Drosophila melanogaster: one gene and its partner. The protein of the gene in region 2 interacts with the protein of the main gene of each other region in a biochemical or structural test. Each region holds a gene or a part of one and is shown on either strand. Other genes may lie near its edges.

The links.
Region 1: of the proteins of Pgant35A (region 2) and Ten-m, one has a biochemical effect on the other in vitro, tested with the Drosophila melanogaster proteins (one study listed by BioGRID).

What each region holds. Positions count from the first base shown.
Region 1 is NT_037436.4:22,404,671-22,409,728, forward strand, and holds the start of Ten-m (tenascin major), read right to left. Parts: upstream 3,194-5,058; 5' UTR 2,523-3,193; coding exon 2,222-2,522; intron 1-2,221. UniProt on the Drosophila melanogaster protein: Involved in neural development, regulating the establishment of proper connectivity within the nervous system. Acts as a homophilic and heterophilic synaptic cell adhesion molecule that drives synapse assembly.
Region 2 is NT_033779.5:14,357,453-14,362,064, reverse strand, and holds Pgant35A (polypeptide N-acetylgalactosaminyltransferase 35A), read right to left. Parts: upstream 2,814-4,612; 5' UTR 2,686-2,813; coding exon 787-2,685; 3' UTR 654-786; downstream 1-653. Other genes in the region: Rab14, read right to left, coding at 3,882-4,059, 4,128-4,310, 4,365-4,545, 4,611-4,612. UniProt on the Drosophila melanogaster protein: Polypeptide N-acetylgalactosaminyltransferases catalyze the transfer of an N-acetyl-D-galactosamine residue to a serine or threonine residue on the protein receptor. Displays the same enzyme activity toward MUC1, MUC4, and EA2.

The DNA of each region.
Region 1 (5,058 bases), on a different chromosome or scaffold from region 2:
AAACTCAGTGTGAGAAAATCGAAATGACTGTGCTTCTGATTCCCAATCTGAATCGGAGTACGAATGCGATTTGGATTCCGATTCAGGGGTGACCTTGCGGAGCTTCCATTTTCGAAATTAGTTGCGTGTTTCTCGTCTTTTTTGCCATCAACTTGTGCATTATGACGGCGGGGCTTGTGATTGGATTTGGAGGCCATCTGGAGTTGGACTCGAACCTGGCTGCGGTTGGCTTTTAATAATGCAAAGTGGCCGATTTTTTCGACCTAATTTGGCTAATTGGCAGGCCGACAAATAAAGCATTGAGACATTGAAATTTCGGTGCTTCAGCTTCGAGCGGATTTTCACACATCAACACAGCTTCAAAGTGGGGGAGGCAAAGAATTTTCCGCTGCTTCTCCGTCTTTCCTGTTTTGGCTTTTTGGCAATTTTATGACAGGCACTGGGGAGCAGGAAGGCGGGAAAAGCTGCTGCCTGGTGAAGTGTTGAAAATTTACGAGCTCCGCCCCGCCCCAATCGCACCCCCCTGGCCCACTTTATTCAATTTCATTTCTTGCGCCAAAGCTGAAAAGAAATTCTGCAAAAGTCTTCGGGTCTCAGGAATTTATTGTTTGCCAGTTACGAAATTTATTTGTTGCTGTAAATTTACAATTCTTTCGCCGCTGCCAGGTAGCCCAACCCAAACACCCACACGTTCGTGTGCTCCAGGTTCGATTTCCATTTGATTTTTATTTCGTTTCAAAGCTCCAATTGTTTGGCAATTGTTTTTATAACACCACAAAAACGCTGAAAGGCAGGAGAAGAGCAAGCGCGGCTGCGGTGGGATGGCTTCGATGAGGATGAAGAAGATGAGGAGCGGAAAATGGGCACCGGAGCTCAAAAGGGAAATGCCAGAAATAAAGTTATGTAAGTCCGCATTATGTGTAAGTTCAAATGCCAAGAAGCAGAGTCGGAAATAATAAAACTGAAGCATGTCGGAGCATGTATTTGTGTTTAGGTTGCTCGTGGTCGAGGTCCAGGGATCGAAAATATTGGATAGGTCTGGGAGTGGCCATGAAGACGCTACGAGGAGGCTGGCTGAAATCGATAATAGCAGCGAACTAACATAATCTAGAGTTAAATACGTGAACTATTGTCATCAAAACAATAGTTAAAAGTAAAGAATCTAAAATTCTGTTCTCATATTAAGAGGGTATCCAAGTAACTACGATTTTCATTCAAAATCTATATCAACATAACTTAGTGCCCTGATTTCTGTCAGTGTACAATCAGGCAGGCTACTGTAACCCAACTCCTCTCAGAAGTCTCGAGCATTTTCCAGCCGCAGGCATTTTTTCACAGAGCGGGGACATCGTCTGGGATTCCCCCTAATTCCTGTCGGCTGACAGAGAGTATCCTTTTCAACTGCGCTTTGTGCGCTGGCTATTGTGGCTCTCGCTTTATTAATCAGACAAATCGTGAAAAAACGCGCTCAGTCGGAAAAAGGGAAATTATGAAATGCGAAACAAGAGCGGGCTCAATGTCAGGCGAAGTCCAAATCCCACTCCCATTGGGACTGCCGCCTTAATTTGTTTAATTTAGGCAAAATGTTTGGCCGCATTCGCCGATAAGGGGCGTAATTTGTTCAAACTTGTCGCAACTTGCTGGAATTCGCAACCCGCACGATTTTGTCACCGAAAAAAGGAATAATTTCTGTAACTAGCAGATGACACGGTAGCTCACTTGAATTGCGTTTGAGAAACATTGGAATCCTTTTGCACATACATAATTTGCTTTTAACTTTTTGACTAATACTAAAAATACACAAATGCCAAGTAGCAATGAATGGTTTTAGAACCAGTCTATCCTCTCTCAACGTACGTAGCTAATAACCAAATGTTCTCCATTTTCTTAAAATATTGATATCAATTAGCTCATTTGATTTAGGCACGTCTGTCAAAGAATTCGGTGATGTATACGAAAGCGATGGAAAACGGATCTCAGTATGTTTAAGCAGCATGGTACTCTTATCAGAAACGCTTTTATATTTTTCACTGATTTCCAAACATAATTTAAGTTACAAATTCATTTAATCCAATTTATGCATTGTAAAGTATTTCCGCACATCCTAAACTTTTTTAAATCACTTCCAGACGCTCTATTTGGGCCACTAAATTCCGGAGTTGTAGCTTTCGGTTTGATTCCACTGACCACACTGCCCACTGGGGTCGGCATACTCACTCACCTTGTCTTCCGTGTGTCCGCTGCGCTGTGTTGTTGGCCGTGTCCGGCGGACGGTGGGCCAAGTGCTGGTACTCGTAGTCGTAGTGGGACGACTGGGCGGCGGCTTGGGCGGCCTGCAGGTTCTGTTGGTTTTGGTGCTGGAGCGTCTGGCTGCCGTGGACCGGACCGAGGTCCGTCGTCGGCCGCCCGTGGCCGCTCATGGGGAGCGTACGTCCTTGGGCGTGTGGGTGGGCGTGAGCCGGAGTGGGGCCGCCGCCCACGTCGCGGCAGTCTAGAGTCGACTCATACTCGTAGGGATTCATGGCGGTCGCCTCCAGCGGACATTCGTCGTCGTCCGTGTCCGTGCCGCCGTCGTAGATGTTGTCCGTGTGGCGGTACGCGTGATGGGCGTGCTGCTTTGAGAACTTAATCTTGGCGGCTTGGGGGCTTTTGGCCAGACAGCCGGACAGGAGAAGAAGAAGAGGAGGAGGACTCCGCACGGGAGCAGGAAGAAGAGACTTGGTATGCGTTTGGCTACTCGCGATTATTCATGCACTTGCTGATGCGGATGCGGCTGCGGATGGCACTGGACGCACTGCACTCAAAAACATTTCTACTGGGCCATTTCCAGACGGTTAATCTGCGGGCGGGCTGCTGGTCCCAGCTCAATCACAATCTGCCGCCGAGGCCGCAATAATATTTCTTGGGCCTTTTCAGTAGTCGTACACTGAAAACACGGGACACACACGATGGGGAGCACAGGAACGCGACGGGAAAAACGGTGTTTTTGAATTGACGCGGTGTGTTTGTTTGCGCGACGATCGTAAAACTATGTCAGAATTCGTTAGACGCAGGTATCATTCGCTGCCTGATTCCCGACGATTTTCTATATTTTTCGACTGAAGCAACGCGCTGTTTTCGCTACTTTTCGTATATCCACATTTTCCGCGACGACAATTCCGACCGTGCGAGGCGAATTTCAAAAGACGAATGAGCTCAAAACGAACGACGAACCGAGTCTGTGGGAGAGAGAGAGAGAGCTAGAGAGCGCAAGTCGCTGCAAATATGAGAGAAAAACAATATGCTTCATATTCTCTCTTTTTCAGTTAAAATGCGTCGCTCTCTCATTTATTCTGATACTGCGCATGATTTGTGAGAGAGAGAGCGGTCGCGCACCAGCGTTGTCCATTTAGCTAATTTGCTGATAGTCTGGCCTTAGCTGGAAATATAGCTATTTTGCTAGAATAATAGGTGCTACTTATGTAGTTTAGGTTAATTTAATTGCAAAAGAATCACTCCGAATCATATAGATTTCCAGTCTATGACAGCGTTATAGAAAAAGATATGCAAGGAAATATAATAATATACTTTTAATACTCTTGTGCTTCTGTTAAGTTACCATCAATATTTGTTCTCAATGGTATGTTTAGCCTTTTTATAACCAGAAGAGTATGCAGCACTCAAATGAGAGCACTCATCGAATCTCTGGTTTGAAGGTTAAAAAGTGCGTTTCGTTTGGCTAAGGGGAAATGGATGTACAGCGGATTCGAATCTATCGTGCTGCACGCCAGTTTCGTTAAGATTATCTGAGGCGGCCAACAGCGCTGTAATAACAGCTTCACCGGCGGCTAACACCGACACTGTTAATTTTATTACAAAACTGTTAACCGGTTTACATAAAAGTGCGTATACGTATACCATATACCATATACCATAAAATATCAATGTAAATGTGGAGGTATTTAAGTTATTAGGTACAAACTTTAAAAGATAGCTTAGTTTATTCTTTATTATATATATTATATATTATATAATATATATTATTTATTATTATATATATATTATATATTCTCTTTATATATTGCCCTAAAATATCTAGGTTTTCCAAAACCTCCGAAAACTTTTAACTTTCAGCTTGCATTGAATAAATTGCAGGTTACACAAAAATATTAAAAACTACATTTTTAAAAACAATGGAATTTGTATTTCAAGGTATCTGAACCTCCTGTGGCCTGGGAATTACACAAAACAGTTTTTCATTTACTAATTATGCTGTCAGATTCTGTGGAGCATTTTCACGCAGCCAAAAAATATCCTCAGACTTCATTAGCGCTAGAAAAGTTAGTCAGTGGCGGCGAGGGGAGGCGAAAAAGTTTCAAATCGCTGACAAGTGAAGTTGTCATTCAGCACCCAAGCCAGAACCGAGCGGACCTGGCCAAAAAGTGTCCGAAACAAACAATGGTGGCCAGCGTGGGGTGGGTAGGTGATGAGGGGGCCATGGCCGAGAAAAGAAGCAGAAAATTGCGTTATAAGCAAAGTAAAGGACATTTCGCTAATGGCTTAACTTTTGAACGCAGGTCTCATCCTGCCGCCTCCACCGACCGCCCCCTAGCCCGTCGTGCAGGCAATTCTCTGCCATGTAGCGGAAGTTGTTGCTGAAGCTTTTTTGACAGCTTTCCCAGCACGAGAAGGATACGGCGGGGAAGAAGAAGAGATGCCGGAGAAATTGTCATTTCTTTTCCGAGTCTCGCAATGTGGCAACGCCGCGTGACGCAAATTTTTTTGTAGTCTGAAAGTATTTGCATAGGATATGGAGTCTTGCTTTCCCGATTTTCTTTGCTGTCGATGAAAAATCAATTTCCTGTTGTATGCAAAAATGTTTGAGCATCATTCAAGAAAGGGAGAGAAGCGTTGCTCGCCTGCACTTGACACATTGAATATTATCAGGAGGATGTGGATTCCGAGGGGGAATGTGACTTCTGATTTGGCTAGTTGTCGTAGGTTTCGATCTGAGTCTTCGTACAGGAACAAACATTCTTGGCTTGTTGTGCATATATTTAATTAAGGGGCAATGGATTA
Region 2 (4,612 bases):
ATTCGATGCCAGCCAATATACCATTTTCTTGTAAAGAGATACCAAATGTGCAAAAACCAAATCATACACTTAAAAAAAAAGGGTTGCTTAAGTACAAATTAATAGGTAGTCTATAATATACTAAAATTAATTTTTTTTTTATCGGTACAATTTCGAGCTTAGGTTTATTTTATAGTTAACAAAGTTTTTATTCTTTATAAATATATACATAACACATATACATAAAAAAAAACGTGGTTTTTCTATTACCACCAGATAGTCGGTATTGAAAATTGTGTTTTGAAATTGCAGCAAATGGAAAAAAGGTGTTATATTGCAAGAATTTAACTATCTAAATATATTCATAAGTAAAATTGTAGTGGTAAAGGTCCAAAAATTTCCATTATTCAAAGTTGAACTTTGATAAGTCATTACAAAATCATTAAATATGCAGATATAAGATATTCGTATTACGAATACGAAGCATATTTATAAGGTAAATTGTAGGTACATACATACATTTATTTTCACAATTAAGTTAAATTTTGATAAGTCATCACAAAATCATTAAATATGCAGACATAACATATTCGTACACATTAATTTGCAAATTATTTGAAAGAAAACCTGTTTCCAAGGCCACCACCATTGGCCATTAATCAAACTGCACCATCAACATTTTGATCATATTTATTAAAAAAAAAAAGTTTGATGAAAAAATACTGGCTATTTAAACATAATACACTTTGCCCTAAACAGTTATCAGTCTAATATTGCAATCGGAATTATTCGATCCGAGCGAATCGCTCACAGCGCCTTGTCCGAGTTCCTCGCCTCCTTGGCCCTGCCCTCCGCCTCCGTTGGCTTCTTCAGCTGCACAATGTCCCAGGAGCCGCCCGCTCCGTTGGACTTGGAGCACAGATCCAGACTGATGAGGGCGCCCGTCGTGGGAGCAGCTGCCCGGAGGCAGGTGCCTTTGGCCATGTTGTAGACGGGACTGTTGGCGTTGCGGGTGTGCCGCCACTGCTGATCGCCGAGCATCTCGTGGCACTTGTTGACCGTGACCTGCGCATCCCCGGATGCCTCCAGGCACAGCAACTTGTCCAGCACAATTTCCGCCTTCTCCGTTTCGTACCACAGTTGATTGGGTGTCCTTCGGCAGGTTTGCAATTGCAGGGAGCTGCCCTTCTTCCAGAAACCCTTCACCTTGGGAGCCACCACGGCGGCACAGAGCTCCGTTCCCGTCAGTCGCAGCTGGAATGTGTCGACATAGTTACGTTTTCGCGAGTGCCAAGGCTGAAAGATGGGCGCTGCCGCCGACTTCTTGGACTCCTCGCCCGGCACATGCAGCTCTGGATAGACATTCTTTAGATACCAGGCAAAGTCCCTGCACTGCAGACGCTCCCTAAGCTTGAGGCGATCGCTAATGTCTCCATAATCATAGGTCTTGGGCACCTTTTCGTGCTTGAGATAGTAATCCTTGTACTGATCCATCCAGACGTGCGCCAAACGCAGTGAGTTCTTCAACATGGTGTTGGCTCCATCTGGCGAAGTGTACGGACGTCGTTTGCGGAATATGTGACCGACACGGGAGCAGGGAACGATCTTAATGGCGCCACCGCATTGCCAGGCTCTGAAGGAGATCTCTATATTCTCGCCACCCCATATATCCATGGCCATGTCGTACTCGCCCAGATGCTGGAAGTACTTCCTGTTCACGGCAAACAATCCGCCGGCCATGGTGGGCGAACGGAAGGGTCCGCGAAAATCCTCCGGCACCTTGAGCGTGCCCTCGGGCAGATTCTCCCAGCGGAAGTGCAGGCCCCAGTTGAATCCTCCGCGCACCAGTGGACTGGGCGTGTACTCAAAGGTATCAGCGTTGATCAGGTCGATGACGGGCACGGCCAGAGTGGCGTTCTCCGACTTGATGAGGCGCAGCAGCGGCTCCAGCCACTGCTGATTGACCTCGATATGCGAGTCGAGGAAGACGAGCACATCGCCCACGGCCTCGCGTGCACCAATGACCCGGGAACGAATGAGACCCTCGCGCTGCTCGTTTTTGATGTACCGCAGGTTGTCGTACTTCAGGCGGGCACGCAGATCCCCGTGCAAATGGAATTCCAATTCTGGAAGATCGCTGTGATCATCCACCAGAATAATCTCGCGCAGCAGGTAGCTGGGCGTGCGTTCCAGCACGGTCTTAATCGAGCGCATCAGCGTCATCTTGTGCTCGTTGTAGAAGCACATGACTATGGAGGCCTGGGGCAGATTTTCCGCTTCCGTGGTCTCCTGGCGATCGCACACCTTGTGCCGAGTGTCTGGGATCGCCCGGAAGAGTCCTATGTTATTGGACACCAGCGCGTTGAAGGCGTGATGCTTGTAGCCAATGTCGCGTATGTACTTGTCCTGCTTGTTGCGCACCACACCCAACAGTTCCAATTGCTCCGGATCACTGGGCGGCTTGGGTGCCGCCGGCGATTCGCCAGTGGTAATGCTGGCATTTGGAGTGCATCCGACGGTGACCCTGGCCTGGTAGCTCAGCTCGGCCCGTGGCGTTGCGTTCCCTTCGTCGATCCTCCATCCTGCCGAGCGGATGGAGCTGCGCAGGCTGTGCGAGTAGAAAAGCAGCGCCAGCAGCCAGACGACCGCCACCAGAAGGGTGCCCAGGCCGCAGGATTTGCACAGGAGGCGCTTGATTTGCATCATGGATCGAGATTAGATTACGTTGTGCGCTTCCCTGGCTACTTAAGCAGCTACTTTGTCACTTTCATGATGATCGGAATAAATTAAATTTAATTTGCATACCATGGCATTCGCACAAAAGCGCGCACACAGCGATGCCACCGAAGATGCTAGCTCAGAGTTTTTCCCGCTAAATTTCAAGGAAATCGAAAATAGTGTAGAATAGTGTAGTGTAGAAAACAAAAATTGGACTGATAACCAGTTAAAATGATTAATTAGACAACCAGCAACAAACAAAAGAACAGTATACGAAAAATCGTTGTTTGACTTACAAACTTTATTGTTCATAGTCATAATCAGCTGATTTCCAACCCAACGTTAGCATCACTAAATAAAACAAGAATGAAGTTATGCGCAAGTCAAAGTTGAGGGTATTCCACTAAATGGATTAAAAAAGCTTTTTACAAAATATTTAAGTAAATCGTAAGTACCCAAATATTTATAAAATTTAAATCTATTAAATGGAAATCCGGTAAATTATAAAATTATCCAGCGATTTGGTGTAGAATTAAATATAAACGAATGGTTAAATATGCAAATTAAAATTTAAATTATTTGAAAGAGAAATTCATTTCTATTGGTAGGGGTTTTATAAATACCATTTTATTTATTTCCTATTGCATTATGCCATTAATACATCGTAAATATTCATATAACATTGATCGTTTCCTCCAATTCTTGCACGCGACAACAACAAATACTCAACAAAAAATTAGGGAGATACAAAAATTCATACATATATATATTATATACAGGGATTCATCAGCCAACAAAAACATGATCTATATCTCAAACGAATTCATCTATAAATTGAGACCGAAGGATGGTGTTAGTGCGATAAACTTTTCGAAATTTCATGGTCAAAACTTTAGTTTGCGCCAACAAACATGTTTAATTTTCTAGTATTTATGCTTAACCGATACAATAAATGTTGCAATGCTTGCGTCTTATTAAGCGAAAGGACTTTATATTTTCTTTTTCTGTTTTTTTTTTTTTTTGTGGTTGCTGTCGCTGTTGTTGGCTCACACATTGATGCTTAATCGAATTATTTAACTACATACATTGGTTTTTGCTTGGGCATCGGTAGATTACGAGTCGGCTAAAAATAAAAGTTGATTTGTATAACTAGGTTTTGCGTAAAGTTAGGTTCCATCATTCATTTAGCACGAGCACTGATCCTTGGCGCCCGTAGCCTCGCTACTCAGCGAAGTTCGCGACGGCTGCGATGGCCTGTGCTGAACTCCGGACTCGGAGGCGTTCAGATCGAGCCGACCCTCCTGGATGTTCTGGTAAATCTTGCGTGCGGTCTCCAGAAAAGCCTCCTCCACATTCTGGCCACTGTTTGGGCGATAAAAAAAAAGATAATCAGTATATGCTCAAACACTATGCTTCCAGTTGAAACTCACGTCATAGCGCTCGCTTCGAGAAACATTAGGCCGTTCTCGTCGGCAAACTCCTTGGCCTCCTCGTAGGTAACCTCCCGAGTGCTCTCCAGATCCGATTTGTTGCCAATGAGAAAGATCACAGTGCTGGGATTGGTGAGATTGCGAGTGTCGGTAAGCCAGCTGCTCAGGTGATTGTACGTGGAGCTGGAATGGTCAAGTTGTAAAGCAATTTCTCAAATAGTAGCTTGCTTCGCTTACCGCCTGGTAATATCGTAGACCATCAGCGCACCAGCTGCTCCACGGTAATAGGAGCGTGTCACTGCCCTGAATCGCTCCTGACCCGCTGTGTCCCAGATCTGTAGCTTGATCTTTTTGTCGTCCACCTCAATGATGCGTGTGCCGAACTCCACGCCAATGGTGTGAGGACAATTGGCCATGACTGCAGGACGGCAAGTAGAGATTAGTTCTTATTACATACATTATTACTCAGCACAGTCTACTCACAT